Kluyveromyces lactis: one gene and its partners. The protein of the gene in region 4 interacts with the protein of the main gene of each other region in a biochemical or structural test. Links are inferred from orthologs where the notes say so. Each region holds a gene or a part of one and is shown on either strand. Other genes may lie near its edges. The genes, in order: SCP1, APP1, ACT1, ABP1 and SRV2.

Evidence for each region.
Region 1: the proteins of ABP1 (region 4) and SCP1 interact in a test that uses a peptide from one of them, tested with the Saccharomyces cerevisiae proteins (2 studies listed by BioGRID). The link is inferred for Kluyveromyces lactis from reciprocal best matches to the Saccharomyces cerevisiae genes ABP1 and SCP1.
Region 2: the proteins of ABP1 (region 4) and APP1 interact in a test that uses a peptide from one of them, tested with the Saccharomyces cerevisiae proteins (2 studies listed by BioGRID). The link is inferred for Kluyveromyces lactis from reciprocal best matches to the Saccharomyces cerevisiae genes ABP1 and APP1.
Region 3: the proteins of ABP1 (region 4) and ACT1 form a complex in vitro, tested with the Saccharomyces cerevisiae proteins (2 studies listed by BioGRID). The link is inferred for Kluyveromyces lactis from reciprocal best matches to the Saccharomyces cerevisiae genes ABP1 and ACT1.
Region 5: the proteins of ABP1 (region 4) and SRV2 form a complex in vitro, tested with the Saccharomyces cerevisiae proteins (4 studies listed by BioGRID, with this or other methods). The link is inferred for Kluyveromyces lactis from reciprocal best matches to the Saccharomyces cerevisiae genes ABP1 and SRV2.

Annotation. Positions count from the first base shown.
Region 1 is NC_006040.1:539,925-545,638, reverse strand, and holds SCP1 (Scp1p), read right to left. Parts: upstream 2,756-5,714; coding exon 2,153-2,755; downstream 1-2,152. Other genes in the region: KLLA0_D06380g (uncharacterized protein), read left to right, coding at 1-1,202; KLLA0_D06281g (TerD family protein), read right to left, coding at 3,350-5,608. UniProt on the Saccharomyces cerevisiae protein: Has actin-binding and actin-bundling activity. Stabilizes actin filaments against disassembly.
Region 2 is NC_006039.1:1,165,121-1,171,803, reverse strand, and holds APP1 (phosphatidate phosphatase APP1), read right to left. Parts: upstream 4,181-6,683; coding exon 2,471-4,180; downstream 1-2,470. Other genes in the region: type 2C protein phosphatase PTC5, read right to left, coding at 1-532; translation machinery-associated protein TMA46, read left to right, coding at 1,258-2,301; putative ATPase ECM3, read left to right, coding at 5,712-6,683. UniProt on the Saccharomyces cerevisiae protein: Mg(2+)-dependent phosphatidate (PA) phosphatase which catalyzes the dephosphorylation of PA to yield diacylglycerol. May play a role in vesicular trafficking through its PAP activity at cortical actin patches.
Region 3 is NC_006040.1:458,759-465,770, reverse strand, and holds ACT1 (actin), read right to left. Parts: upstream 4,046-7,012; coding exon 4,036-4,045; intron 3,256-4,035; coding exon 2,138-3,255; downstream 1-2,137. Other genes in the region: KLLA0_D05379g (uncharacterized protein), read left to right, coding at 81-1,571; SND2 (Snd2p), read left to right, coding at 4,800-5,345; Rab family GTPase YPT1, read right to left, coding at 5,661-6,275. UniProt on the Saccharomyces cerevisiae protein: Actins are highly conserved proteins that are involved in various types of cell motility and are ubiquitously expressed in all eukaryotic cells.
Region 4 is NC_006042.1:941,443-948,046, forward strand, and holds ABP1 (Abp1p), read right to left. Parts: upstream 4,790-6,604; coding exon 3,059-4,789; downstream 1-3,058. Other genes in the region: YMD8 (Ymd8p), read right to left, coding at 640-1,950; KLLA0_F10153g (uncharacterized protein), read left to right, coding at 2,346-2,906; KLLA0_F10198g (uncharacterized protein), read left to right, coding at 5,510-5,752; KLLA0_F10219g (uncharacterized protein), read left to right, coding at 6,558-6,604. UniProt on the Saccharomyces cerevisiae protein: Regulates ARP2/3 complex-mediated actin assembly. Recruits ARP2/3 complex to sides of preexisting actin filaments, which may promote nucleation or stabilization of filament branches. Binds to actin filaments, but not actin monomers.
Region 5 is NC_006037.1:1,002,053-1,008,630, reverse strand, and holds SRV2 (adenylate cyclase-binding protein), read right to left. Parts: upstream 3,362-6,578; coding exon 1,718-3,361; downstream 1-1,717. Other genes in the region: NAM9 (mitochondrial 37S ribosomal protein uS4m), read left to right, coding at 63-1,511; KLLA0_A11616g (uncharacterized protein), read left to right, coding at 3,735-4,376; U2 snRNP complex subunit YSF3, read right to left, coding at 4,516-4,776, 4,853-4,855; THO2 (Tho2p), read left to right, coding at 5,151-6,578. UniProt on the Saccharomyces cerevisiae protein: The N-terminal domain binds to adenylyl cyclase, thereby enabling adenylyl cyclase to be activated by upstream regulatory signals, such as Ras. The C-terminal domain is required for normal cellular morphology and growth control.

The DNA of each region.
Region 1 (5,714 bases), on a different chromosome or scaffold from region 4:
CAGGTTTCTGGTGTGCTTATACGGGACTACTACCGAAACAAGGCCAAAAAATTGTTTCTTTGCTAAACGTGGATCTTTTTACACCATGTTTGATTTTCAGTAAATTAGCCAAGTCTCTTTCCTTGGCAAAAATTTTGGAAATTTCTATAATCCCGCTGTTCTATGCCTTAACCACAGGTATTTCCTTCCTTTCTGGTAAATTGTTATCGTATTTGTTCGGATTTGATGTCGATGAAACCAACTTCGTAGTGGCTAATTCGATATTCGGAAACTCAAACTCTTTACCAGTTTCTTTGACCCTTTCTTTAGCCTACACTTTACCGGATTTAACTTGGGACCAAATCCCTGATGATTCAAGGGATAACGTTGCGTCAAGAGGTATACTCTATCTTTTGATTTTCCAACAAATCGGCCAAGTGTTGAGATGGTCATGGGGTTATAACAAATTGATGAGATGGTCAGAGGATTCAGTTCATCACAACCATCGTATTTCCTCTCAATTGGAATCGCAGGCTACATTGGGTAATGACCCAAATAATGTTTCAAGTCTAAGTTTGCAGAGTGAATCCACTTCTGCAGCTTCACAACAGGAAGTGAATCTACGTGAGAGCCCATATTATGCCGGTACTTTTACGAAATTGAAACAGCAGACGTGCTTTTACATTGCTAAAGTTAGAAGTTTTATGAACCCTCCTTTATATTCCATGTTGTTCTCGGTAATTGTTGCGTCAATCCCACCTTTACAACATGAATTTTTCCAAGCTGACGGTTTCATCAACAATACACTATCTGAAGCTATAGCTGAGTTGGGATCAGTTTCCATTCCATTGATCCTTATTGTACTCGGTTCAAACTTGTACCCATCGGGAGAAACTGCTGCTCTCACCAAAAATCACAAAAAATTAGTTTTCGCATCTATAATGGGACGTATGGTTTTGCCATCATGTTTCATTCTACCGATAATTGCTGGTTGTGTTAAATTTATCAAAGTTAGTATATTGGATGATCCAATTTTCTTAGTGGTTGGGTTCATTTTGACAGTCTCACCACCTGCAATTCAATTAACTCAAATTACCCAATTAAACGAATTCTTTGAGGCTGAAATGGCCAACGTTTTATTCTGGGGTTACGTTGTGTTAACTCTTCCGATCTCGATAATCATTGTTTCTATTGCTATTACCGTCTTACAGTGGGCTCAATAAATTGATTTTGGCCCCCCTCCGCTCATAGTCAGACAGATTTAATATTCAAATATTCAGTAAGCGGTTAATAACTTTATTTCTCGTATCACCTCGCTTCCTAATTCAACAAATACATATTCGAACATAGTGATCATTTCTAGTTTATTTGTCAAGTATTGTGTGAAAGAACACCTCATTCTTTTCTTATTATTTAAGCATGTATGAATTGAGTTACTTCAGTAACATGTCACGGCCTTTTTGCTCATCTAGTAAACATGTATGAAAAGAGCCCCGAGATGCTAATATTTTATAGTGGTAGAGGCCAGTACGACTGGACTTTAGATTTGACAGTTTTCAGGAAGTATTCCCCCAATGTCTCCCACGATTCTGCATGAATTTTGCTTAATACAGTCGCTAATTTCTAAAAATCTTGAGTAAAGAGACGCCCAATTTTTCCTATATGTAAATCCTTGTTGGATTTGATTGGCAATTACATTTCAAAAGTCATTCAAATGGTTGTGTGGCCGAGCGGTCTAAGGCGCCTGATTCAAGATACCAATCTTAACCAACCTTACAGTTGGGAACACTCAGGTATCGTAAGATGCAAGAGTTCGAATCTCTTCGCAACCATTATTTTTTTTGTTTCGTTTAATGGATCGTTAATCATCTGCACTAGTTTGAATCGTAGAAACTCTACGACTTCAGAAGCAAGATCTTGATGTCTTCAAGGTACACAATCGGTACCTTTTTAAGTGTTGCTTGCCCTTATGAATATGTTGTGCTTTTTGTTACATCAATCAGCACTAATCTTTTCGCTTTATGTACAGATTGCCAACTAATGTATAAAAGTCAAAAGACCCTCAGTAGAAGGTAAATTTGAGATACATGGTTGCCCAAGCATCAGAATATTGCTTGATCGGTCTCAATACTTAGTGAATCGAATGGCTTTCCGGTTAGGAATCTCAAGGTGTTCAATTCATTGTTATATCACGTTTATTTCCGAAAACAATACCCTCGGTGGATTGGTTTGCGCCCTTCATGTAACCATATTCTACAGTACTCCATCCAACATTCTTTAAGTGCGATGGTTTTCCTTTCACAGGTGGTCTCGGCCTTTTTGTTGATAATTGTGGACCTATTACTGGGAACAGGTCAGGGTGTTTGGAATTTGCATATCTGGATAATGACTTAATGGTTTGGTAGACAATTGCTGGGTCTTTTTCCTCATAGAGATCAACAGTCTGGAAAAGTTCATCTTGTGGAACTCCGTACTTAGTTGCGAACTGTAAGAACATACTTATTTGTTCCATTTGAACAAACGCAATTCTTGAACTTTTCCATTTCATTGAATCGGACACTCCTGTTTCTTCTTTTAAGAGTCTATTAGCAAGCTTACATAGCACAGTACCATCTTTTAATGCATCCAAAAGACTGTCGTCAGGTGATTGTTCTTCAATAATAGCATAAATCCATCTCTTTATTTCTGTTATATCATGTTTGTTGAACTTCTTACTTCTTGATTCTTTAAGATCATCATCCAATGATGTCACATCAGGCTTGATACCGTAGCTCATGTTTTAGTAAGATTAGCTTTAGTTCCCGTAGCTCAACTAAAAAAAAACTGAACGTAATCAATAGCTATCCCTCTCATCATACTTTCTGTGGTGTGGCGATATGCACACTCGTTAAGTCTCTTAATTTATGCCTACACATTAAAAAACCAAACTCAAAAAAGATGGCGCTACCACATATTATAGACCCTCAAAAGTGTACTTGAAATATATGGAGCCAAAGAGTCAATATAAAAAAGAACAGTTTAAATTTCTGTAAGCAGTATTGTTAATGCCTACGAATCACGATTCTCTGATGGAGACCCATTGTACCAAAGAGGAAGTTTTAATGACAGATATTTTATTAGCGGTAAATAGAAGTGAATGTATAATTATATAGAAGGATGCCAATAACGTGCTGTCAATATCGAGAGATAACTGTAACGCTCAAGTAACCAAATTTTTAGAAGGATGCATTACAAGTGCTTTCGAAATTGTTCCGGCAGATATCATTTAGACTAGTTGTTAATCAGTTCTTAAGGAGAAGGATGTCTGAATCGTGCTGCCGGAAAGCAATTGTTCGTCGTTGTAATATAAAATTCATTGACGTTTAACGATCTAAATTAGAAAATTCCCCACTATCTCATCGGTCTTTGATGCAAAATTCTCATCGAAACAATGGTCATAATCTTTTTCTGGATCGTGCTGTGCAGATACAGTCTGGGCTCTGGCTTCGCCATGAAGTTGCATTAATTTTAAAAGGTTGCATTTTTCTCTATAAATGTTCAGAGCATACTTGGCTAGTGATCCAACAAGTGGTGTCTTTTCATGGAGGTTGACGTTGTAAATCTTGTTCTGAGAAATGGCGAGGTCAAGCCAAATAATTGTGTTTTCGTATAGATCCAGCACCATTGGAATATTAAATCTCGAAGCTGATAGAAGATCAAACTTCTGCTCGACAGTTTTTGGCTCGAAATGTTCTCCACTAATATTGTCCCTAATCATGAAACCAGCTTTAGCTGTGAAAGTGTTAAATTTTTGACCAGTATAGGAATTAACTGTCACAGCAATATAGCGTGTTTCTGGGAATGCTTCCTTGATATCATCTAACTTAACGTCTATAAATTCAGCGGCACCATTCGTCGCATCAGTGAAATCTCCAGAGTGTGTGACGGCGCCATTAGCCAAATTGTAATACGCAATTTCTCCTTTGTTTTCGAAGTTATCTGATAACTGCAAACATGATAAGTCAACATCTACCCTTCCTTCGTGTGCTGCGCCTTGTGTTTCCTTTATATTCTCCCAGTATAAGAACAACCGAATTACCTTGGAGTTCTTATCAAATCGCATCTTGGACCCTCTGCCAAAAGTATGCAAAGCCTCTGATGCGTCCCGCAATCCTATTGGTGGTATGTAATCCTCTAATATTGGATCAATAAAGATATTGCCTAAAGGCTCTAATTTACTGAATCGTTCTATCAGTACAGAGTCGATGCCCTTATACAAATTTGAACAGAGTTCTGAGGAATAAGTCTGGCGCTCGTCTTCATCTTCTATAATGGCGTTGGTTGCAGAGCCTTTTGGCAAGAAAACACGTATGGGTGATATTTCATGACGATATTGAAAATGAGTGGAAAGATTCAGAAGTAGCGGTGTCGATACAGACGATGCAACATCCAAAAAGCTAATTACAATTTGAGCATGCTCTGTAGATGGATATGAACGCAGAAGGTGATCTAACCGACGAGCAAAGTCACCAGGCCTTGCTTTCAAAATATGTATAATTGATTCTAAACTGCTTTCCATGTTGCCTTCATTTTTAAGGTCCTTTCTTGCTCTTAAGGCTGTTTCAATTGTTCTATTGAAGGTTTTTATCGATTTTTGGTTTCCTCTAATTGTTTGGATCATTTTGGCTGCGTTTGGATATCTGCTAGCGTAAGCATTGACATGTAAATATTTAGCTAATACAAGCCAGAGGCCCAAAAATCTCAGTATATCCTCCATTGCCGTTTCACGATCCAATTTGTTTAACGCGAACAGTAAGAACTTTCTTTGAGAATTTGATATTTTGAAGCGCGTGTGCTTAGTCAAAGCCACATCTGATCCAGAGAACGAAGCTGCAAGACGTAAAACATCTGTAGCAGTCTTGATATGAGTGGAAAACAATTTCTGTAATTCCTCATCAAATGGACCAGATTTTGTAGCAGCGCAACCAATGATGTGCACAAGGTTTTCTTTGCTAGGAATAACTTCTGGTAAAGAAGATTTCCAATCGTTCCCAGTGGCTATCACTGAGTTGATGAATTCTTTGTCAGAGGCAGAAGTTGAAGTCTTCGAATTAGCGAGGTTTTCGAAAAGTTCTAAGACCACTCCTCGGCCGACTATATCCAATGTCGTCAATTCTTTGCCAGTGATTAATTCAGGACGCTTAATGGCCTCCTGTAACTCTAAATCGGGATACTGTCTACCAAACCATGATCCATTATACTCGGACGATGACCAATATCCATAAAAGTTGAAGAACAGCAAATGAGTCAGATCTCCTAAACTTTCGTAGACTGCCTCTACCAACAGACTTCTGTCAGGAATAGACTCAGGGAATTTGCGAAACAACGGTACATATTTTACGTCTGCACCTAAAGCTTCCTCCAGAACAGTCTTCGCCATGGACCTGAATTCTGTTAGTTCATTGACAGACAGTGTTCTCAAATAGTCCTGCGCATTTTCTGAAAATTGATAACCCAACTTATTTAACTCAGCAACAAAGGTGAATAGTATGTCATCAATGCTTTCGATTGGATCAGAGCTGCACAATTCTTTCTCACCATACAAGGCCTTTCTGTTAGATAGCAGCTTTCTCGATATGGCTATACTCATTGACTTAGACTTTCATTAAACTCTTGCTATCTTACCATCCTAGTATTTGTCTCGAGATTTGCATTCACCGAATCTTTGTAATTGGTCTGAGTGTAAAATCAGCTGT
Region 2 (6,683 bases), on a different chromosome or scaffold from region 4:
CAAAAATTCCAAAAAAGTACAAATCTTCTAGGCTTTCGGATGATTCGGTTGGTACGGTGATAATCTGCTCAACTCTGTTATCTTCGATTGGAGCATTGGAAGGAAGTTGAGAAACATCATAACGAAGAATACCTTTTCCCCTATTAACAAAATATGATTCTTCTGATTTGTGTAAGATACTTTCTACTTGACGGTCGTTCAACAAAGAGATTGTGTTTGTGTTCGAATTTGTGTTCGAACTGGGATCAGATTTCCCAGTCTTGAAACCATCTCCAGAAGAGTAATGCTTGATACCATTTATCGTATCAGAACTGACGTAGTTGGTTAAATAAGAGTACCCCAGTACTAATGCACCTCCTATGACAGCATATTTCCATTCATTGGATCTGAGAAGGCCTGATTTTCTCTTTTGGTTAGAGGTTGAGAGCTGTCGACGCTGGCTTAAAAAAAGCATTTTCGAAAGATCTTTCTTAGAAAGGCACCTTGAGAGAGTTCTAGCAGCCCGGGACTGCAATAATGACGGTGGTGGCATGAATCTAAGTTATGTTCACAGTTGGAATATTTGAAACTCAATGCTCCGCACACCTGTAGTGGCTCGTCTTTCAATTTCGTGTTTCTCCTTGTTTGATTCACAAACCAAATTATATATTTCTTAAACTGTGAAATCCATACAAATATGAGATTTCTGTTAATTTCCATAAAACTGTCGTTGGATAAAAGAAGAAGAGTATTCGACGTTATCAATGGCGAGCCTTAGTATTTTCTACAATTTTTTGACAATGCTGAAGACTGCCGGAAAGGTAACTACTATTGTTCACTATGAATGCGCCGATGCAACCATTGTTAATATATTGAAATTTTTAAAACATGGCACCTCACACAGAAATGAATTAAAAACTTCCATTAATGCAACAAATGATAGAATAAAATCACTAATTATAAGGTGGTGGCATTATTTCGACTGTGTCATATGCTGCAATCTGAAGGGAAGCTCTTGCCTTTTATAGATCACGTGATTATGATTAAAGGTGTCACATCCGTCTGAAGTGATTTGGAAAATTTTTGGCATTGAAATGCAATAAGATCAAATAAGAGATGAGCATGAAGATGCTTAGGAATCGTCCTCTTCCCAACGCCGGATATATTACGAATTGAAGGTCCTATATTTGTTTCGGCTTAATCTGAAAACAGGGACAAAGTACACCCACTTAGAACCTTGTCAAAGATCTCTAAAAACTGAATACAACTTAGTGAAAGATGCCACCAAAGAAGAAGCAGCAGCAACAGCCTGCTAAGAAGAAGGACAATGTTGACAAAACGTTCGGTATGAAGAACAAGAATAAATCCACCAAGGTGCAAAAATTCATCAAGCAAGTTCAATCACAGCAGGATCCTGCAAAGGAAGAAATGAAACGGAAGAAGTTGGAAGAAAAGAAGATGAGAGAGGCTGCAGAGGCAGAAAGAAGAGCTTTATTCAATCCGGTACTGGACCAGAAGGTGAAAGCTGGTGTGGATCCTAAAACTGTGCTCTGTGCGTTATTCAAGATTGGTAATTGTAACAAAGGTGCACGCTGTAAGTTCTCGCATGATATGAATGTCGGACGTAGAGTGGAGAAGAGAGATTTGTATCAGGACACAAGAAGTGAAAAGGAAGAAGATACTATGGACAATTGGGATGAAGCTAAGTTGAGAAGTGTGATTTTGTCCAAGCATGGTAATCCTAGAACAACCACTGAAAAGGTTTGTAAATATTTCATCGAAGCTGTCGAAAACGGTAAGTACGGGTGGTTTTGGATTTGTCCTAACGGCGGTGATAAATGTATGTACAAGCACTCCTTACCGGAAGGATTCGTATTAAAGACTAAAGAACAGAAGAGGTTAGAAATGGAGGCCTTTGAGAAGAAGCCAAAGATCACTTTGGAAGAATTCATCGAAACCGAAAGGGAACGCTTGGATAAGAGAAATTTGACACCAATTACAATGGACAACTTTGCTGAATGGAAGAAGAACCACAGAATTGAAAGGCTCAATCTAGAAAAAGAGAATAACTTGAAGAAAAAACCTAGTGGACGTGAAGTCGTGCTGAAGAAATATACAGAAGACAAGAGATTTGATCTCGTCGATGAAACTGATTCCACGAACGGTTCAGCGTGGGATTTGACCGAGTTCACAAAAGCATTAAGAGATGAAGATAGTAATGGATCTAGTGGAATCAAAGATTATGGTGATGGTAGTAATCCTACTTTTGAACTGCCTAGCAGAGATGGCCCATCTAAACAAAGCACTACACTTACTGCCTGAGAAAAAGGACAGCACTTGCATACACGCTGTATATTTCAATGGTTGGTTGTCTTCATTTCAAAAATTCTCTTTGTCATTCATACATAAATATTTTGTCATTAAATATAGTTAATACTCAATTTGCAAAGAGAAATATATATGTTCTAACTTATCATTTTCCAGTTTCCTATCATAATGAATCAATTTTATTTATGCTATCTTCCAAGCACAAAATGGGATCATTGAAAAACATGAAGCTAGCTTTAACGTCGTTTTCTTTTAACTTTTTTACAGCAACTTTAACTCTTTCATTCCAACTTTCAGCCTTTTTATCAAAGAACTCAGAATATGTTCCATAATCATTCTGCGAGGATGGAATTGAATATACAGCGTTGTCCATACTGCGCATCTTTAGTCTTGTTGGTTTTCTAGGAGGTAAAGGTGGTTGTGTGCCAGACGATTTAGATTCAGAAATTTCACGCTGAAGAGCATCACTCAAAACTGGCTTCTTTTTTAGAACCTGTGGAGGCTTTTTTTTGACAGGCTGTTTTTTATCCGTTTTAGCTGGGGCAACATCTGAATCTGAATCTGAGTCAAATTGGATTAAATCGGGGATATCATCTTCTTCCTTTATCTGGTCTAAATAAAACTTTTTAATATGATCATTTAAAGCTTTCATAACTCTTACGTCATTTTCAGATTCATCACTCATTGAATTCTTGCAACATCTGATGTATATTCCAATAATCTGTTTTGGAAATTGACTCGCAGCCGATACGTAAGCTTCGAGGTCTTGCTCACCGGAATCACCTACCAGAATGAACTTTTTGTTCGGGAAATCATTGCATATTTTCAATATTGATGCAAGCTTTCTCTGTGCACTGGATTTCATAATACTTGAGAGTAAGTTACCAGAATACTGTTTGAGGAACATGGGTCCTAACGGATAGTTTTCACCAATATATTCCGATAATATTGGGTATATCTGAGCAGGGGCATTTGATACATAAAAGAAATCAACTGCTTTGCTATCTTTTAATGTCGTATACCATAATGGCATATCTTGAATTTTCCATTGTTCAAATCCGTTGACAAAAACGTTCAAAAAGATCGATCTTTTATCTCCAACAATACCTGTGTGTTTTATTGTATCATCTATGTCACTAATAAGTCCAACTCCACTGTTTTCGACATAAAAAATCTGGCAATCTTGGACTAGCCCGGTTTCCAAGCATTTAACTTTTGCACCAGCTGGTTTAAATTCGGTACTGAGTAAAATATTAAACCCACCAGAGTTATCAGAGACCGTTATTTGATCCATCTTATCATTTGATCCGTTATACAGCGTAGTTAGAAGGTTGACGTTCGGGAGATGTTTATTCATGAACCCCGCTATTCTTTGCCTTAAAACTTGTTCCTGTGTCAAGGGAGCAACCCCATCTCCCATTGACAGTTGACCTGAGCTTGTGGATGATGACGTCGTAGATGAACTGTCCAACGAGATATTAGAATCGTTTTGCAAAGATTCTAATCTTTGTTCAACGTTAGGTGGAGGATCGTTTCTTAAAAACTGTTTGCAAATAGACAAAAGAATACTGTTTCTTTTGCTTCGTTGACCGGTAGAATATATCAACCCTCTTAATTCTGTGACATAGATACTATCCGATAGTTTTCTTGAGTATGATGGGTAACAAAGCAGCTTAGGTGGGAACATTTGAAACTCTAAAGCCCTTGCCTCTGCAGGTGACATGTCATTCCCGTAATAGTTCTTCAAAGAGTTTTTGGCAGCATTGAAGTACGAATCCTTGGTGTGCTTCACCATATTATAGATTCGCTGTCTCCTACCATACGGCACGTTAGCACCCCATGAGGATCCATCAGCAGCTAAAGACGGGTCCATAGATATCTTTAATTTCGATTTCAACGCTTTAAGAGTTCTCTTTCTACGCAGTTTCTTATAAATCGAGACAGATCTTCTCTGATCTTTGAAAACACTATTCAACGGCAACAAAACGGCAAATATTTTAAATACGGTGGGTTTCCAACGTTTGTGTATTGAGTTGTGACTTGTAAGACCCTTTTAAACAGTTCGCCTGTAACTGTCCACTGATAAACGATCCGAGTCAATAATCACAATTAAAAAACCAGGAGAAGAAAACAGAGATCAAAGGAAAGATAATAATTTATCCCTTAACCGAATGCAGAAAATATGATTATTTCATTCAAAGGCACTTATTGAAGCGTGTTAGACCTTGTTAAATACAGTAATTTCAAGGCAAAAACCAAAATGCGTCTCTATATCATGTCTTCATCTGCATGTTCTTTTTGTATAAAGCCTGGATACTAAACCTTTATAAAACCTTAAAAAAATAATAATAAAGATTCCACATCCCAATAGTCCCAACAAAAAAACAAGCAACAAGAAAGAAAATGAAAAATCAAGTTTTGCTGAAATACTGCAACAACTGGAATATGACTTCCTTGAACCGTATGTGCTGCACTTCATAAGTATAATTAAACAAGAATATAACCTGCATGTAAAATTCGGGTCACGTGAAACACGTGACCCGTATTTTCTACCACTCGAATGAAAATATTCTTCCAGCTTATATAAGCGTTGATTATCTTCCGATCCCCACGCTACCTTCTTAGAGATTTCAGCGTGGGCAAACACAACGGTCGCAGATTCCCGATCCCACATTAAAGTATGGGTCACAAAATGGCTCAGCTCTTCCAGCCCTTCCCTTTTCTCATCACGCTACATGGGATGCATTAGGAAACCGGTAGCTCATAGAGATTAATGATACCATCAGCTGCGCAATCATTCAGCAACACCGGCTTTTAGTTTATGTAATTCATGAAACTAGGTTGATGCAAAACTACTTTTTTTTAGTTATCTCCTCTCCTCGTAGTCATATTGAAAAATGCCTGCAAAATGCTTTTTAAGCGATGAGTTATCAGAGATCACGATAATATAAAGATAGTTGTATTTCTATAAATTGGTTTGGAAAGCGAAAGGAACAAGGTGTTGGTGAGAACGCTTTTTAGGGCTTCACATTGTACAGCGCCTACTTCTTCTGTTTTCTTTTTGATTATCTTTTTGGCATATAAGAGTAACATATTTGCTTTGCACATAAGCCAAGAATTAGAGCGAACTTCCTAAACAGGTACTCCAATTTGCTTCGATAAAGATCTAAATAGGTTGGTTTTTCCGTGGCACAACGTTACTGAAATTCCTCTACTGATCGACAGTATTTGAATCCTAGAATACACTATTTATAAAAAGACCAGGTTGTCTTACAAACGAGAGAGGAAACACTTGGATTAGCATATAACACCACGGGAGATATTCACTCGAATAATAATCTCGAAGTTATTAAAGATATTAAAAGTTACATGAATTATAGATTGCATAAAACTTGCAGCACGATATGGGGTTGACTGTAGGAGAAGCGATCTGGGCTTCAGTGAAGCCTATTATTAAGATTTATATGATTATAGCGACTGGGTTTGGTTTGGCTAAGGGGAATATCCTTACCGTCGCAGCAACCCGGACATGCTCAGATATCGTTCTAACGGTCTTACTACCGTCGCTATCATTTAACAAAATCGTTTCAAGTATTGATTATAGGGATGCCAAGGATGTCGGTATCATTTGTTTGACGGCAGTCATGATATTTGGTACAGGGCTTTTCTTTGCATTTGTAGTTAGGAAAGTGCTTCCCGTACCGAAAAAATGGCGTGGTGGTATATTAGCCGGTGGGACATTCCCAAATATCAGTGATTTACCAATCGCTATATTACAAACTATGGATCAAGGTCTTCTTTTCACAGAAGAAGAAGCAGATAAGGGTATTGCTTCTGTGATTATTTTCTTGGCCATGTTTATGATTTGCATCTTCAACTTAGGAGGCTTTAGACTTATAGAAATGGATTTCGAGTACGCGGATGAGGAGAATGCCTCTATTCAGACACCACTCGAACCACCTGCGCAATCTAATGCATCTCAGTTTCATCTTCAAACTGATTCACAATCATTCTGTTCAAAAGAAAACGATCGTGCTGTAAATTCCATCAATTCTCAGGAAGCTGTTACTTCTCCAATACAGCTTGCTGAGGATAATGTAATTTCAAGGCGCCTTACTAATGCAACGGCGGCCAGTGCCCAGTCTCTCAGTTCATCGCTAAGGTCGATTGACCTAAGATCTATGCCTCCGGAAAATGTTCACGATTTAATAAAAGAATACTCTAATGTAGACCAATACGGAGCTCGCAGAAATTCTGTTACATCCACCATAAAACCCGAAACCGAGGATTCAGGTCAGGTCCCTCTTAGAAAAGAGTTCACAACTTTGAAGAGAATTGTCACATCAGATGCTACCGTAACTGGCCAAGATATCAAA
Region 3 (7,012 bases), on a different chromosome or scaffold from region 4:
ACTGAGTAAATATTGGAGCCAGTAGCAAAGAATACACTGTTTTATAAAGGTGACTTAGTTTCACAATACGCAATTGAGATATGAAAAATGCATTTGAAGTGAAAAGGTTGATCGGGCTGTTAGTTTGTATCGGTTTTATGTTAGGTATGGATACTTCGTCTTTATCATTGTTTCTTGGGACGAGCTATTTCAAAGAGTATTTCAAACAGCCAACTGCACTACAAACAGGTATGATGACAGGGGCCAACCAAATTGGTGGGTTTGTGGGGTGCCTAATGTCTGGGTCTTTGATAGAACTCATTGGGTGCAAATGGTGTTTGTGTGCTTGTAGTGTTATTTGGACCATGGGATCTGTCGGATCTTTTTTTGTGCTTGAAGTTTACACAATGGCTCTGAGTAGATTTGTAAAAGGGATTGCAGTAGGTATTCTATCTGTGCTTGCTTCATTCTATTTGATGGAAGTTTTTTCAAGCAATATAAGGGGGCAGGCCACAGCTTTAATGCAGATGGCTTTAACAATCTCCATTCTATCCATATACTTTCTCTCTATGTTACTTGATAAAATCCAAGGTCCCTTGGCATTTAAGATTACTTGGGGGTTAGAAGTGATACCCAGTTTATTGTTATTGATGCTATTTCAAGCACTACCGGAGTCGCCAAGATGGTTGTATAAGCATGGATATTCCAACAAAGATATAGATCGGTCGCTAGCGATTTTGAGAGTGAAGGATGTTGAGAAACTCAGAGAGAAGTTCGTTAGTGAAACGAAGCAAAAGCCAAAGCTTTCCTATATTATCAAGAAAGGTTACTGGAAACACATGAGTCTCGGTATAATAGTCCAGATATTAATTCAAATCAGTGGTATTAATGTTGTGATGTATTACACTATTTACATATGTGAAATGGTTGGCTTTGATGATGATGTCAGCTCGAAATTAACCGCAGGACCTTATATTGTCAATACGATATTTACCTTAGTCCCTGTCTTTTTATTAGACAAGTTTAATCGCAAAGTATTCATCGGGTGGGCAAGTGTATTTTTAGGTGGTATCATGCTATTGATAGGATTCCTAATTGGTGAAAGGGAAAGGCACGTCGGCGATGTTGTTTTGAGAAATATAGTTGTCGCCTTATGTTTCCTCTTTGTTTCGGTATTCTCTTCATCATTGTCATGCGCTGGCTTTATCTATACTAACGAAATCTTACCAGAATCCATAAAATCCGTGGCCTTATCAGTTTGTATATCGACAAGTTGGTTTACAGGGTTTGCCCTTGCATTAATGGCACCTTATTTAATGCAAATCGTAGAATGGTGGACCTTCGTAATGTTGGGAACATCAACAATAGCCTTAGCTTTCATTATAATTATGTGGTTTCCTGAGACGAGAGATTTGTCACCACACGATATTGACAATCTATTCAAACAAGACGCGCTGTCAGCAGAAGTTGAATATGAAAAGATAGAGTCGGATCAAAGTGCAGATTTTGAAAGTATTCCCGAGAGGTCTGGTGCGCCAGAACCTGACTCATTTGTGTGTACCACTACTACCACTGAAGTGACGGAACGTTGAATTATTAGTTTAGTCTTGTTTATCTATTGTACATATTAAATAATTTACTATTTCATAAACTAAGAATAACTTTCAACACTAAAAATCTTTGTTCTGGAACATATGATGATTTTAAATCCTTTTCAAATTATCAGATGATCAACTTAAGCAATTAGCCTCGCACGAATATTCAATAATTGCCGTATATAACTTTCAATTGGAGTTGTTTAATTTTAATGTTGAATTTGAATTTCGTTCGTATATAATCTCGGCTTATTAACTTATTAACTTTCATACTAAACTACCCACTTCATTTATATGAAGTAGAATATTCCAACAACATAAGATAGAAGATTGGAACTTGAATAATGACTGTGCGATCGAAGATAAATAAAAACAACACACAAAACAAAATTATAAAAACAAAGAAGATTTGGAGTAAAATCGTCCCTATATGAAGTTTTAATAATTGTTAGTTTTTTGTTTCATAAGCTTCAATTTTTGGGTTCATCTATATGAATCGATTCATCGTTTATTTTAATTGTATTCTTTTTATAAGAGTGTCAAGTAAAAAAAAGTGAAGGAGATTAGAAACACTTCAAGTGAACGATGGATGGACCAGATTCGTCGTATTCTTGCTTTGAGATCCACATTTGTTGGAAAGTGGTCAAAGAGGCCAAAATAGAACCACCGATCCAGACAGAGTACTTTCTTTCTGGAGGAGCGATGATCTTGACCTTCATAGAAGAAGGAGCCAAGGCGGTAATTTCCTTTTGCATTCTTTCAGCAATACCTGGGAACATGGTGGTACCACCGGACATGACGATGTTACCGTACAATTCCTTTCTGACATCAACATCACACTTCATGATGGAGTTGTAAGTAGTTTGGTCGATACCAGCAGCTTCCAAACTTAGAACAGATGGATGGAACAAAGCTTCTGGAGCTCTGAATCTTTCGTTACCGATAGTGATAACTTGGCCATCTGGTAATTCGTAAGACTTTTCAACAGCGGATGATTGAGAAGCAGTTTGCATTTCTTGTTCGAAGTCCAAAGCGACGTAACATAGCTTTTCCTTGATGTCACGGACGATTTCTCTTTCAGCGGTAGTAGAGAAAGAGTAACCACGTTCAGCCAAGATCTTCATCAAGTAGTCGGTGATATCTCTACCAGCCAAGTCGATTCTCAAGATAGCGTGAGGCAAGGAGAAACCGGCGTAGATTGGAACAACGTGGGTAACACCGTCACCAGAATCCAACACAATACCAGTGGTTCTACCAGAAGAGTACAAGGACAAAACAGCTTGGATAGAGACGTAGAAGGCTGGAACGTTGAAAGTTTCGAACAAGATTTGAGTCATCTTTTCTCTGTTGTTCTTTGGGTTCATTGGAGCTTCGGTTAACAAAACTGGGTGTTCTTCTGGAGCAACTCTCAATTCGTTGTAGAAGGTGTGATGCCAGATCTTTTCCATATCATCCCAGTTGGTAACGATACCGTGTTCAATTGGGTAACGTAGAGTCAAGATACCTCTCTTGGATTGAGCTTCGTCACCAACGTAAGAGTCTTTTTGACCCATACCGACCATGATACCTTGGTGTCTTGGTCTACCGACGATGGATGGGAAGACGGCTCTTGGAGCGTCGTCACCGGCGAAACCGGCTTTACACATACCAGAACCGTTGTCAATAACTAAAGCAGCGACCTCTGTTTAGAATAAAAAACCATCACGAGTAGCAGAATGCAGATTAAGGAACTAAACCGTACGTTTGGGTAGGTTAGGTGTTCCAAAAAAGTGAATTCAGCCATCCCAAATAGAAAAATAATTGTTAGTAACATAAGATAAGAAAACAAAAGTAACAGGTGCATTTTGGGTGATCATGAGGTTATGTGATTGTTCAACGCTAAAAGTCCTGTCGCGGACAAAATAGGGGCTAACCTTAGCAACCAGAAAAATAAATCAAAAAAAAAATAGGGACAACCGAACCACGAGGGGCAATGCCTGCACCACTTAAAGGTGTACTTTGATTCCTTCTTGGACTGGAAGGAATAACATTGTAATATAAAATCACATCATCACGTGACATCAAATTATCTTTTTTTGCCTATATTTTCCAAATTTCTTTCCAATTCGCCTCCTAAATCAGGTAAAAAAAACCCAAAATCCAAAGTTAGTCACCCAAAACCCAAGAAAAACACGTTATAGTAAGAAGGTAGAACCAGGAAATGAAAGATCCAATTCTCGAACAAAGCTTCTAATCCAAACCCCTATATATAAAAAAAACCCATTCAATTAGCGTTGTACATCTAATTCTAAATCTGATTTAGGGAGTTAGAGAATGGACAATGGCAGCGCAAAGCGCTGCCATTATCCTATCTTTTCCCTCCCAACATTTAACCGGAAACCTAACAAAGTAATAAAACATATCCAAACTTTTTAACCACCCAATTAACCCACCGTAATCAAATATACGTTTCCACACATACCAGAATCCATATTGTTATACTATAGCGCGTGAAGATGTTGTACAATTCCTTTTGCAATCAACAAAAAAACCGTTATTCTGAAACAACCTTTCTTCTCTTTGGATCGTAAAAGACAGTAAAGAAGGAGGAAACAAATCAAGATATTTCTTATTTTTCTTGTAAATTAAATCAAATTTCAAACTCTCTCATACAATAAATCGCACTAGCTGTCCAGAGAAACAGAAGAGAAAATTTCGAAAAAACAAATTAAAAAAAAAAAAAGAATTCTGATGAAAAATAGGAGACGATTGTCATTGTCCACGAGGCGGAGCAGTTGCGGTAATGGTTTTCTAGTGGTTACGTGGGATTCACTGTACAGCTGGAGGGGCGGACTTGCAATTGAAGGCTTTGTGAAGGCTGGAAGTTTGATATAACGTTGGTAGGCTGTCGGTAGAATAGTTATATCGTAGTATATTGTATTCATGAGGCAGTTATCGATCTCTGGATGTTAGTACATCTGGTTTATTTTACAATTCATTATGACCGCATATCGTCTTAATCCTCCGTATATTAATGTGTATATTCAAAATCACGTGACATATATGTACGTTACCCGGATTATAATGACTCGGCAGTTGAAATCTATACGTGAATATATGTTACGTGGATCATCATCAACTATCATTGAAGCAACGGGAAGGTATTAATAGATCAGGTTAATATTCGACAGTACATTTATGTACATCTATCTCTATCTCTGAAGAATCTCACCCACCCATTGTAGAATGGCTGGAAAATCGTCCAAGAAGATTGCTGCAAAGAACGCAGCCATCTTAAAGCAGTTGCACGTACTAGTCGTCGCTATACTATCTTTAACGTTATTGAGGAAATGGTTCAGTAATGGGCTGATTTCAACCCTAAAACCTATTCTTTTCAATGTGCCGATGTTGTTATGTTTATATATTCTCGAACGTACCGGTAGACCAAAATATGAAGTCAGTAACGCTGCGCATGGAAAATATAAACTAGTTAATGAAGGGTTCGATTTGGAATCTGGTGGACTCACTGAATACATGAAAGATATCGTGTATGTTTCCTTGTTCTGTAACCTGGGAACAGTTTTCTTCAACACGATGAAATGGTGGTTCTTGGTATTAGTGTGCCCTGCGTTTATTTTCTACAAGTTGTACTACTTGAAGCAACAGTATTTCCCCGGTGCCTCAGCTTCAAAGGCGGATCTCGCAGAGACAACGCCCGCTGAACCTTCCAAATCAAAGAGACAATTGAAGAGGGAAAAACGTGGTGATAAATCTCAGGTAAGATACCGATAGATTAATGTTAGAGAAGGGGTTGTATATACTATATCCATCATATATCTACGAATACATTCTCTTATATATAGAGAAAGTAAGAAAGAAAGGAATAATGATTGTAATTGAAATTAAGTCTAACTATAATAGGCTCTAAATAGACAACCACCGGCTCTTTCGTTAAAGCTATGTGGGGCAAATGGTGCTTAATGTTGTTTGTGATGTATACGGGATATTAATTCTTCGAAATATGGTAATTATCAGACAGTTCTTAAATTCAGTTCCTGATTTTTCAGACACTTAGTGTATAGTAACATAGCGATGATGCTATCCAATTTAGCAACAACCACCATTGGATCCAGTCAATGATTGGCCCTTTAAGTTGACGTTGGACTTGTCTTCAGCTCTACCATTATCTTTTTGTTGTTTGGCGACACTTTCCTTGATTTGCTTGGTCATGATCAAGAAGGCCTCCTCAACGTTAGAAGAATCTAGTGCACTGGTTTCGATGAATGGAATTCCAATAGAATCTGCGAACTCTTTAGCAACTTCGGTGTCAACCACCTTCTTATCTGTCAAATCGTTCTTGTTACCAACTAGTAACTTCAACACACCAGCTGTACCGAAACGGTCGATTTCTTGCAACCATGTCTTGACGTTGTTGAAGGATTCTTGGTCTGTTACATCGTAAACGATAATTATACCGTGGGCACCACGGTAGTAAGAAGATGTAATAGTTCTGAATCTTTCCTGACCGGCAGTATCCCAAATTTGTAGCTTAACAGTTTTGCCATCTAACTCAACAGTCTTGATCTTGAAATCAACACCGATGGTGGATATATAGTCGTTGGTATAGGTATCATCGGCAAATCTTAACAATAAACAAGATTTACCAACACCGGAATCACCAATCAACAATAATTTGAACAAATAATCGTATTCGGTATTCATTTTTTCTTTGTTTGCTTGTAGTTTATAGCGACTGATACGATTCGACTGTTTGTTAAAAAATATGGGCTCCTTTTGTAAGTTGTGATTGGATGGACTGCGTTGTAAGTTTACAATATTTCTCTATTTTAAACACACCTTTCTGTATCCCTCGTTGTTAATATCTCTCCGTTAAAGAAAATGAGTAAAGGAAGTATAAGATAAAATATGATAACAACCCCAAAATAAAAGTCTATCCTTTAGTTAAGCTTTCAGTAAATATGCAACAGTAACCAGAAAAAAAGCAAGCGTCTTATCAAACCGCATTTGGAATAACTGAAACTATGCTATTGTTGCTTAATAGAATGTATTTCGGTCCAGGTTTCACTGTTTGAATTTTGTTCTCCTGAACGGAAAAGATTCCACAAAAGATTACCATCACGTGACACAGAAATACACAGTGTTGTTGATATAGATCAGTAATGAACCTGTTACACTACACTGAACTATTTCGGACAAGTAATGAAATGGATGAAGACATTACAAAGTTCAGGTAACTGATAGGAATGATTCGTAGTAATCTTTAGGGGAGATGTGAAACTCTACAAAATCTCACAGGATGTAAGATGCGAATGCAAGAATCTTTGCTTGGATGAGTTTTTTCTAAGTTAAGATACATATATATGTATGCATGTGTATATCTAGATGCTCTACTGACTAACTTGCAGGAAGACTCTATGAATGAACTTAAGTTTCGAGTT
Region 4 (6,604 bases):
TCAATCTTCAACTTTCATTATCAATTTTCCTTATCCATCATTCTATTTTTTCCCTCTGATTGCCATGGTCGCAGCTTTTTTTTTTCATTTTCATGAGATTTCTCTTTCGAAAAACTGAAATTTCTGTCAGTATTAATCCAGACATGCTGCTAAACGGGCCGGAGAAAATACGGAGATACTTATCTTGAATACGTAGTTAGTTGTGTTCTTCGTGTTAAGTGATGTGCTCATGTTGATCGGGTAATATATTAATCATTTGCACTCTATAAGAGTAATGAAATAACTGTCTGCTCAGGGAATCCTAGTTTACAGTCTTTCGGATGCAACGCACGTGATCTCATTCATATATGGCAGTTTAAGCATTTGATTCTAAAGTCCGAAGCTGGCATTAGAATACATCTAAAACGTGTAAATTGAGTAGTGTACATGTTTAATATAGTTTACATTTCGAGTAAAGCTGTCTGAAGCTTATAGGAAGCTGAATTCTGACTTTGTGAATTCGGGATTTGATATGGTTATTATTCAAATGCATATGCAATGGAGTGTTTAGTTTATACTTCATGCAGGAGAGAAAAAAAAGAGTGTGAGATGAAATCGATAAAGGATAGAATGCAAATATGGTGAATGATGCAGATTCACTTATTTGGAATTACCCATTACGGTGTCGTCACTTTTGTTTTTAGTGGGTTCGGTAATGGTACCTGATGTTAGCTCTGGTAGGTTAGATTCGATTGATTTTCTGGAATTCAAGGACCCTAATTCCCATACAGTCGCCGAGTCTCCACTGATGTTGTCTTGTAAATTTGACCAAATATCACCATCATGCGTAGATGTACATGGGGGTTCATCGGTTTCTACTAGTTGGTAGTCCTGTTGTACTTCTTGTAGTCTTTTTCTTTGCATGTATCTGTAGTAGTTGTAATAGCATACGTCGATTAGTACAACAATCATGCCTAACCAGTTGTAAAATCCTAGCCTTTCATTGAATACCAGCATGCCTAAGAAAACGGTGAATAGTTCTTTGATGATCCCGGTGACACTTAAAGTTAATACAGGAGCCAATTGTAATATACCAAACTCACACATTGTTAATATGAAAACAAGGCAGCTAGGGAGTGTGAGAAGCGCTAATCCACGTAATAGAGCCGCGAGTTTCGAATGACCTTCCCAAGTCATCAATTCAGAATGCAGTACATCAGGAATCGGACGTTCCACTATGAATGAAGTGGAAAATAGAAGTATAGTCATTGGTAAAGCTAATTGATATAGAGTGATGACCGGGTTTTTCTTAGTAGCAGGTTTGTCAGCAGCCATCAACTCATCACCATCGTTGGGTGACAAGACAATGGTGTTCTTCTTGTGGTTGAGAATAACTTGAACGTAGACCCATCTGAACCCTCCTAGGGCACAACTTATCACCACAAGTATCACACCAAAGGTTTCCTGAATTTCACCATGAGTCTGAGAGCTATCTGAGTTTATTGGTTTTAAACCCATCATCACAACACCACAAAACATCAATGTCACTATAATGAATAGTCTCCAAGATGGTACTTCCACCTTGAATAGACAGCCAAAGAAAAGAACGAATGCAATAGTAGATGATTTGACAATTGTATAAACAGTGAATGGAACGTATTTGAAGGAAATGTTGCCTAAACCAATGTCACCAGCAGTTGCTATAGCAGTTGGGATAATGTACTTTGCATAGTACTTCCAATCACCTTTGTTCAAGTTTTCGGGGGTTAGTTGACCTTTCCACCGGAGATACAGATATGCCATACCCCATAACTGTGTTTGGTGCAAGCCTGTCACCAACAATGGGTATGGAATATGCAAACTTCTATTAGGATCGAACATCCATTTGTTGTACATGGTAAGAAGAATGGCTGCAATATACATCCCCATGATCAAAGTGAAGATCCTCACTGTGTCTCTATCCATCTTCATTGTTTTTAGCTATTTTATATTGACAAAAGTACTACGCCAGGCTTCTTCTAATTTTGTATTAATATCTCGTCTCCCTACAGTAGCAATGATTCACACAGATCTCCCAGAACTTCCATTAAACAAATCAATTGACTTCGAGGTTCTATGTTATTTCATTCTCTACATGTGGTAGGCACAAACCTAGTTACGCATCTTTTTCATGTTGAACGAAACCTATTTTCTTCTTAGATGCTTTCCTATGGATGAGGCTGGTGAAAAAAAAAAAAAAAAAAATTAATGAACCACTAACAAATGAGACTAGGACCCTATTGAGATAACTTACAGGGTTTTTATGAACCGGAAGCCGGAACGTTATATATCAAAGTAATCGTCGTACCAATTTGGCTCCCAAAATAATGTTGTTTTTGACATCTTGTGCCACCTTGTCAGAGAATATCAGAAGGATTTTCCCAAAAGATACAGAACAATCACCAGCTGAATATACCTTCAAATTAGTATGTACCAGCTGTAGAGAGGAGCACGATTCCCCTATTAGAATCAATAGGTTTGAATCTCATGACATGCCTGGAAGTAAAGGAAATGCCTCGTTCGTGATGAAATGTAAATTTTGTGGCAATGAGTGTTCAATAAACTTGACCAGGACTAAGGAAGACTTATATAATTTAGATGAAGAATCTAATTTCGAATTGATTGAACAGGGTAAAAAGGACAGAAAGAAGGTTGGCTTACGTTCTGTTCCTGTGGAAAAAGCTGTTTGGCTCGAGCTTGACTGCAGAGGATGTGAAGTAACTAAATTTGAACCTGCTGACACTATTTTTGTAGCTGAACTAGTTTCGAAGAAGGAAATGGAGTTTCAGTTTGAAGACGACGAAAACGAATGGTATGATTATGATGACGATGCTGGAGAAGAAGTGAGCGTAGTAGATATGAACTTTGAAATTGTAAAAGGCAAATAAGTAGACTTTTGTTTAGTTTACTTTTGTACTTTATTTCTTTAACATTATTTACTTGTAAAGTATACATGATATATTCATTTCAAAGTCCCACCAACTTATAACATCATCATTTATTAACAATGATAAAGTTAGAGTAGTGGTAATTTATTGGATCATTCCTCTAAGTTGACGTAATTACTTGGGAATAGACCCTTTTCACCTGATGATTCAAGTTCACCCAACCACCAATCATCATCGACAAATTGAATATTAATGATTCTTTCATTTTCTTCAAAAGTCAATTCATTATCTTCGCCGGCTTCGTAATCATATTCAGCAATAGCTGATGGTCCGGATTCTTTCTTTCCAGGTTTGGATGCTCTTGGTGCTGGAGATGGAGGAGTATTTTGAGACTTAGAAAATGCTCTTTCATCATCATCTTCTTCGTCCTCGTCACTTTCCGGTGGGGGTGGAACATTTCTCCTAGTTGGTAGAGAAGGAGCTTCTTCCTCTTCCTCTTCCTCTTCCTCTTCCTCTTCCTCTTGCTCCTCCTCTTCCTCCTCATCGCTTTCGGGTGGGGGAGGAACATTTCTTCTCACAGGCAACGAAGGAGCTGGAGTTTCTTCCTCTTCTTCTTGTTCCTCCTCATCACTACTCCAGTCATCGTTTTGTTCCTTCTTTTGATCATGCAGACCTGGTAGTGGTTGGCCAAACTTGTTCTGTTTCTTGGTCCAGCTGTCAGATGAGTTGATCTTAGAAGCTTGAGGTCTAGATCTGCTAGAGTCACTTGGTTTTATGATAGGAATTTCCTTAGTTTTAATTGATTCAAATTTTGATCTGACCTCTTCAATCTCTTCTTCAGCTTCTTCTTCTTCGTTAGAATCTGAGAACTCTTCTCTTTGGGTCTTGTTCTCTAAATTAGATGGTTTCTTTTGTCCCTTCTTTTCAGCCCAAAGTTGAGCTGGTGACTTTTCATTCTTGAAACCCTTGATCACCTTATCGTCGCTATCGTTTCCTGATGATTGAGCTGAGGAAGAACTCTTTGGTCCCAAGACTTTGTTGTATTCTGCATCCCTCTTTAGCTTGGATTCTTGCTTTAATTTAGCAATCTCAGATTGAGGATCAATCTTTTTGTCGTAATTAGGCCCCGAAACAACTAGACGGGGATCTTCTTTACTGTTTTCTTCAGCAATCACTTTTTGTAGATCAACTTTACCAATTGGTTTCCAGGAAGAAGAATTTGGTTCTAGTGGTTTCTTGTCGAAATCACGTTCTTCCAACTCTGGTTCACCCCATTCATCGTCCTTCTTACCTCTGCTCTTCTCAGTCTTTGGGGGAGAAACGGATCTTCTTGATGGGAACGATGGTGTAGGTTCCTTTTGCTCAGATTGTCTGGATGAAACACTGACTGGTTTCTTGGCTGTCTTGGCAGCAGAGGAAATTGGCTTCTTGGAGGCCGGTGTTTGTTGTTGAATTGAATAACGGGCACCAGCGGAGTTGCTGATTTTCATTAACAATTCAGATTCATCTAAGTCATCCTCATCTCTGGCGGTAACCTGAACATGGTAGGTCTTAAACACTTGATTAGAGATCACACCGAAATTCTGAGCAAATGAAGCTCTGGTTTTCAATGGAGCGGAATCTGGACACCAACCAATTAAAATCAACTTCTGAACATCAGAACCTGGTGGAGAAACACGAGCTAAACCGTATTGAACCTTGGTATCATCGAAACTTTGCAAAAACTCGCTGAAAGAAGTACCGACTAGTTCAGGTTCGTATTGTTTCTTAGAATTTGGCGAGATGATCAACCAAGTAGTATCTGGATCACCCTTCACAACCTTCAGGTACTCGGCCTCAATGGCACGCGAGTGTGTAGTAGTGTCAATTGGTTCAAATGCCATCGTAATTGCTATGCCAGACTGATAACCCTATAATAACTTAAGATCAATAACAACAAGAAAGGAACGTAATGCACCTCAAATTTGTCTGGTAAATTGGCAAAAACACACACTAATTCAATTGACTTTGCAGAATTCTTGTCTTAAGATATTTCTATATTTGTTTAAATATATATAAAGGTAGGATGGTACAATCATTCCACCAAACAGCAGTGGATTGATTCATGTTTAATAATTTAACCTAGTTCAAATATTGCATTCATGGCGAATAGGAGACAATTGTCAAGATTTTATTTCATAGGTTACCCGGAATATGAACTGTGGTTTTAGTTTCGAGAAATTCGTGCAGATTTCATTTAGAGAAACAGCGGTTGACATGAAACCGGGTAATATTTAGTACCATGAACAGCGGTCAGAGTAGAGAACGATATTGCAAAACTGTTATTAGCTTTATGAAGAGTTTTCTTATCAAGGAATCAATAACTATTTTTTGGAATAAAGCTGTGATGATGTTTCTGTTGGAACAGGAAATTAACTGTCGGTGAGAATTTCAAATTGCTCGATGTTCTATTAATTATTCTCCGGCCAGATTTCAGCTTATTTTCCACTACGAAACGGACCTTATGCTGAAATCACTGTTGAGTTAAACATTGGTTATAATGATGGGGGCCTTACCACAATAACTGATCCCGGAACGACTTTCCACGTTCATGATTCTCATATATGCATGTTAGGAAACTATGCCATCGCAACTCTGAGAAAGGTACTGGTAGACAAGCTCCGAAATCGATAATATCGATACCGGCAGGTTTGTATTCACTGACGCACTATTTGAAAAATAGGCCTTCTTCGAGATTATACAAGAAATTATCGAACCCAAGGACAAGATTCAGATCGAGTAAATATCATATATGGTCAAAATACGATTTAATACAAGCCTTCATCGATTTATGGGCGTATATGTAATGGCAACAAATTTATTTCTACCGGTGATGGTTCCTTTTCCCCCGCGGCTGATGACGATGGTGGGGTTACAGACGAACTTGGTTATTCGAAACCATCTACTACTTTTTCTCCACTGCAAAAAGAACTTGTATCCGATTTTGAAGCTGTTAAATTGGCTTTTCCCCGTTCCTTTGGCCTTTATGACGCAAGATGTAAATAAAAATGTCCGAAACTTGTCACTTAGCAGTTATCACCGAAGTTGCATATTGAGTGGAGCATTAGAATCCTATTTCGGCAAGAAAATATCACAGAAAATGGGGGGGAGGACGGATTAAGGCTTTTCAAACAAACTATACAACGAAGCTATGTATAAGGACAATCAATTGTCGCTAACTGACGGTCAGTTGCCCATTTGAGTGTCGTTTCATAAGAAAATACATGTGTGGAATTTGTATCACGTGACTATGTCTATGCGATACCTTCCTAAATTGTGGGTGTTAGCCAAAACATTTGCAAGCATTCGTAACTAATTTAGAATCTTAACCGTGTTCAAAGAGCTTTCAACATTCAAATTATTGGGACTTTTCATGGAATTACACATATTTCCTTACATTGTTAATGTGCTCCCCATAAATAAGTTTAAATTCATACACGCTGTGGACTTTTCTTTTTCTGCTGATGTTAAAAAGTGAAAAGAATCTTCGGTGATGAGATGAGATGAGATGAGATAATATAGAATGATTATACAGATAAATGACTTATATTCTAGCATCGGAATATCCTAGTTGAACGCATACCGTACCCAAACATAAACTGCTCAAAGAAGATGGTAACATTTAATTGTGAAGTGTGTAACGATACTGTTCCTAAAAA
Region 5 (6,578 bases), on a different chromosome or scaffold from region 4:
GAGTCCGTAAGCAGTCAATTCTGGTTAGTTTTGTCAATACATTGTGAAGAAAAAGACCAGCAATGCCTAGGAAAGCTGTACTTCTGAACTCTTTGTCCAGAGGGAAGGTTCGTACCTCTTTTAACAAGTACAATTTGTTCAACTTGTATAAGAAATCTCAGGTCAGTTTTAGATCGAAAACACTATACCAACAGAAATGGACTTCTAAACAGGAAACTCGTGCCTACCATGGCGAACATTTAACAGAGAGTAGGTGGCAGTCTGTTTTCGAGCCTCAGCTAAACTCTGTGGCTCAATTAGATGCTTCTCTAAGGGGTGGTGATATCGAACCGACGCCCATTCTATTACAAACATACGCTGTACTAGAGAAAAGGCTAGACTTTGCTTTGTTTAGAGCTATGTTTGCCTCGTCAGTGAGACAAGCTCGTCAGTTTATTTTACATGGCAACGTCCATGTGAATGGTGTAAAGATTACTTCTCCGGGATATGCCTTGAAAGCTGGTGATGTTTTCAACGTCAGACCCGAAAAAGTGCTACAAGCTCTTGGTGCCAAGAAACCTAGCTTGAAGGAAGCTTTGAAAGTGGATAATACCCAAATTTTCCTATGGAACAAATATATTCTAGAGGCTAGAAAGAATCCTAGAAAGTTCTGGGATGAAAAGATCGAAAAACTAAGAACTATGGATAGTAACGATCCAAAGAAACAGGAATTTTTATCCTTCCTCGAAAACTACAACAAAACCATGCACATTCAAATGAGGAAAGAATTAGACCAAACCAGTAACGAGTATTTGTTAGCTAAGATCTTTTCTACCGTTAACCGCGTTAACGATGTAGAAAAATTGGCAGTAAAAGATTTCTTGGGCGAATTTTACAATAACGAAAATTTGGCAGCTAAAGGATTCGAAATTTATAGAGAAGTCAAGTCTGCCAAGGCTGTGGAAACGATAGCAGGGAAGCCTTTGGCTGAAATTCCTAATGAACAAGGTGAATTGCTAAAGGTGGCTACAGGAATAACTAAACCTGTTGATAACACAAACGATGCCTTAAAGAAAAAATTCAGAGCCATCAATCATACTATAGTTGATTTGAGACATTTCTATGAAACCGTGGTCAGAGAACATTATAATGACAAGATGGCATCCGTTGATTCTGTTGATATTCCATACGATGCTAAGTGGGCTGAAAAGTTACCATTGCATCAAAAGATCAATGTTCCTGAACTATTGGAAAACGAACCAGCTGCTCAAAAAGCTATCAATTTACCATGGCAAAAGGGTGTGTTTGGTCGTAACGATCCATCTAAACCATATTTCACTCCGTGGAAACCAAGACCCTTCTTAGCACCATTCGCCATTCTACCACACCATTTGGAAATATCATTCAAGACATGTCATGCGGTCTACTTAAGAGACCCTGTTGCACGTCCAGGTCAATCTGAAGTTATTACTCCATTCGGCTTACCTGTACATGAACGTTCATACATGTACTATGTGAGAAGGGGTAAATAAGTTGACGAAAACAAATACACACGAAAGAATGGATACACTGTGACTATGACAATTTAAAAAGAATGGTGTATCTTGGAAACCTTGTACATATTATTATCATTATTTTATCGTATCATATTATATTAATTATATATATATATTTATATGTTCTAATGAGTAAAGAATAAACTAACACCCAGTAACGAGAAGATATACTATTCAGATATTCAACCAGCATGTTCGTAAATCTTGGTTTGTAGTTTACCTTCGACGAAAGTGTGTATCATCTGTTCTGGAAGTGGAACTTCAACGAAGTCACCATCGGGACCAGTTGGAGTGTTGATGTTAATACCAGTGCTAGAAGAGGTGAAAATTTGAGCCTGTAAAGAGTTTTTACTCAAATAAATGGAGCCGCTATCAGACGCGTCGATGGTGATTTGTGGCAGGGTGTTTTCCACTTGAATACCAAATCTCAAACATTTAATAATATCCACACCACTGATGGAAGAATCTAGCACTAAACTGCATTTTTCTGTTTCATTGACAGTAACTGCGTTGACCTTACCTTTGATTTGTACCAATGTGTTGACACATTTACCGATGAAAACAGATTCGTCAATTTTAGTTTCGATCACTAACGGTTCGGCTTCATCTTCATAATTTTCAATAAACCATTTATTACCGATCAATTCCTTTCTTGGAGGCTTCTTAGTCTTCAGAGTAGATGGTTTCTTTGGTTTAGGTGGAGGAACAGCTTTGTCAGAAACCTTCCCTGAGGCACGAAGTTCTGGGTTCTTATGTGTTTGCTGAGACTTTTCTACTTTCTTTAAGGATTTAGTGATGTTTTCACCTTGGTTTAACTCAGCAAACACAGCACCGATTCCACCAGATTCTTGTTCTTTTGATTGTTCATTGACTTCGAATACGGAAGCCGGAGGAGGTGGAGGTGGAGGTGGAGGAGCTCCGGCGCCTGAACTATGCGGCTCACTGGAAGTAGCACCAGAAGAAGAAGCTCCGGATCCCTCGTTGGAAACTCTTTCGTATACGGTTTCGAAATCCTCACCAGTAGTGTCGTTCCAAGTCACACCTGTGGTATGGTATTCCTTAACGTACAGCTTCAAGCTATCGAAAACGGACAAAAATTGTTGGACCCATTCAACGGATTTAGGATCAGTGCTTCTGAATTCTTTCAAGATTCTATTTGTCCAAAACTGGGCAGCGTCCTTGAAATCAGTGATAGTAGACACAGGTGTAGATCCAGCAATCCATGAGAACAGTGGTGATCCCTCAGAGATAGCATTCAAATGAGCGAAATACTTACTGTTACGGTTCTCCTCTTTCAACTCACCAATAGAGAAGATGTTCTCGTTAATTGGGGTCAAACCTTTCACGAATGCAGATGACGAAAAGTCTGGCTTCTTTGATTGTACTGCTGCCTTTAAAAACACCAACTGAGCTTTGAAAGCGTTGGCTAAAAACACCACAGCTTTTTCAACAGTAGGATCAATTTCAGCGGATAATTTAACCAAAGGATCAACGTTCTGTTCAATGAAATGCTTAAATTCTTGAATTGATTTCGGTTCTTCCTCCTTCGATTCACCAGTACTGTTTGGTGCTGTTGCTACCGGTGTTGCGGCTTCTTTAGAAGCTGCTGATGCGCCTGAACCTGCACTAGCAATTCTTTCAGCAGAAGAAGCAGTAACAGAATCAGCGAACCCATCAACCTTACCGTCTTTCTCTAAGCCAAACTTGGATTGAACATAGCCTTCTTGATAAATCGTAACATCCTCCAATCTGGCAGTAGCATCCTCCAATCTCTTCAAAAGTTTTACCAAATTGTACCCCTGCACTGAGAAATTTGTTTCAGTCATTTTCCAACTTGCTTCAATCCACTCAAACGTCCTGATTACAGTTCACCGTCCGTATTGGAAGCCTTTCATACACCAAAATCAGAGCAAATGCCCCTATTAAAATGTTTCTCTTCTATTATTTTTTTGTTTTTTCTTGATTCCTTAAAAGTGTCTCTGATGAACATGTAAAAGTGACCATTGAGAACAAAGTTGACGAAAAACTCTGGAATGGTAGGTTAAGATGTTAACTTATGTTACGAAAGGAAACATCAGGTTACTATACGACTGTGGTACTCTGTTTCATTTTTCTTACGATTCAGGAAATTAGTACGGTCTTACTTTTTCTGGTTAAGATAGCAAAGGAGAATTCTGTTGTGTGTCCTTTATTGTAAATATGGCATCGCAGCATCGGAATGGTAATTCGAAGTCCAGGAATGGGGGAGGAAAAGGTGTAGGGAAAGGTTCTAACTCGTTGTTTGGGCGTGTTGGAAATTCTAGTGGCCAAAATCCCGTATTACAGAAGAAGCAGACTTTGGAAAGGGCAGAGAAAGCAAAGGCAGAAAAGGCCAAAGCAAAGACTGGATTGACATTTCTTGGTGGTAAACTTGTGTTAGCTGCTGATTTGCAGGGCAATAAAATGAAAGCCAGCTCAGATAAGAATAAGCAACAAATTCAATCGAACAAACGTGTCAATTTGCTTCATAATTTGAAGAATAGAGCTAGATCTAAGCAACGAAACAATAGTGATAACAGTAATAATAAGAAGTTGGTTATTTCATTGAAAGAGAGTTTGAAATGTTTAAAGATACGAAATTTGCCGATAGGAACGAACCCTTCTAATTTACAAAGAGTGTTACAACAGATGGGCAACTGCAAAGTTACAGACTTGAAAGTTATCGATCTTCCTACTGGTTCAGCCCACGCTGAGGTGTTTGCTTCCAACATGGATTTAGAAACGTTACACAAGAGGTTCAACCAGGCCGAAATTGATGGCAGAAGAATCTTAACAGAGATTTCTTCGCAGCCAGAACTTTAATTAAATATATTACAATCTCTGAAAGCGTTTTCGATAGCTTTTTAACTTCGATACACCTAACATAAAATACACGTTAAATACCGCATGTACCAACAACAAAAATATTGCAAATACACTTGTGTAATATCTATAATAATCATTAATCGTTTCCAATATCCCTTTTGATTGGTTTTGGCGGGTTTGCAAGTTTTCGTAACAGTGTTAGTTGGGCATCCCGTTTGGAAGGGAATCCTGACGCCAATGTGTAATACTCTAAAAGGTTCTGATGAATAGCCAAGCTGGCATATGTGTCCTTGCTTATCGTATTAGACCACTCTTCCTTTGTTGTTCTAGCACTCCCTACCCCTGGATGTTTCTTCCGCATATCTTCATATATCAGTTCCTCTTTCACTTTGTTACTCTGCAGTTAAGTCAGTAGTTAGTATCATTGGTCAGCATAGGATATTACACATAAATTGGAAAAAAAAAGTACATACCATTGTTTATAACTTCCTATTGTTCTCACTGATACCATTAACTTAGTCAAATACCTAGTATACTGACTGCTGTGACTCTTTTCATCCCTGTTTGAGATATCAACTCTATTCAAGTTACCATTCTCACCATGCCGACATTTTTCAAATATCGAATTTGAATATGTTAAAAATCTGTGAAAGATATAACACATACATTGCGCAACATCAACCTCATGATTGTAGCGTCCTGGTGACGGAAGAGCAATAGGGGTATTTGCATTTGCCAATTGAATTAGGCACACGGTAAATTGTTTTCATCATGGCATTGTACGACTGTTTGAATAATTTGGCTTCCAATCTTCCAAATGATGAACAAGTTACTTATTTTGACAAGACGTTTTTCGATGAACCAAGTCGTGGTGTAGAAACAATCATATCACAGTACCTTTCCTTAGATGCCAGTTCTCAGAAATCTGATTATGTGTATGATTTGTTTCTGGAAGCTTTTTCCTTAATCAATGGGAAATCTGATGAATCGGAGTTTTTAAATTTGGATGCTATCAGCAAAATAGTTAGTGCGTTATGCAACGAGGATAGATATAACTTCGAGCTATTTGTTTCGTTAGCGAATTCATACCCTTGGGAGGCGAACAATGGGTTTAATGATTTAGTTGGGTGTGCCAAGGATCTTCAGTTAGAGGTGTGTATTTATTTGAACGACCAAATTCTTTCAAAGGGTACAGAAAGATGGTCCAAAGATTTTTGGTCCGCATTCAAAAAGAGCATCGTTCCCGAGTTCTTCCTTTTGCAAAAACCAAATTTATTCCTAGAATGCTCTACTGGTTTCAGTCAACTGATAACGTTGTTGAATATCGCTTTTGAAGATGTTGACAAATTCCAATCTGTTCAATATTACAGTAAACAGTTGAAATATATTATGGGGAAATATAAGCTAGACCCAATCAGGTGCATGGATATACTATTACAAGTGTCTTCATATCATGTCGTACACCATTTTGAGTTTATTCTTGAGCTTTTGCAATCTACAGACTACTGGCCATCTTCGAATTTGGCCAACTGCTCACGGTATGAACAATTGAACCAAGGTGGTAATCCGATAGCTACCAGGTTGATAGTAAATTACCTTAATAATGGTAAACCAGATGCAAATTACATCGATTTAGTGGTTCATCTAATTAAAGGCGGGTTTGTCTCTTTTGCTGCTATATTCGATTGCCTGACCCCGTACGATACTGACATTGATGAGTTTGTAGAGAGGAAGCTGACGACATTGGAAAAGGAATCCTTGGAGGGATCTCTTAATCCGTTAGCTATGGCCTCCGTCCTTACTGACGAAGACAATACCATTTCGAAAAATACGGAAGGTGATAAAACCAATACAGCGGCAGATACTGGGATATCGGAGAAGGAAAAAGAAGCACTACTTCGAGAAACTGTTGAAAAATCACCAAAATGGAAACTAGTAGAGAGGTTACTTGTCAATGGGCACTTTGTTCCAGGATTGTATGCTCTATTCAAATATCCTCGGTTCTTTGCCGTGAACGATAGTCTCGTGAAATCTCTTCTCGAGGTGTTTGACAACATGATCGAACCCTTGACTGTAAAGTTGAGCCCTTCAGCTATTTCAGAACATTGTCGACCTCTTTTGAAGTTATCTCACAATGGAATTCCTACTAAACAAGATCGGTTGATCAGGCAATATAGGTCTTTGGGGAAAGACTACAAA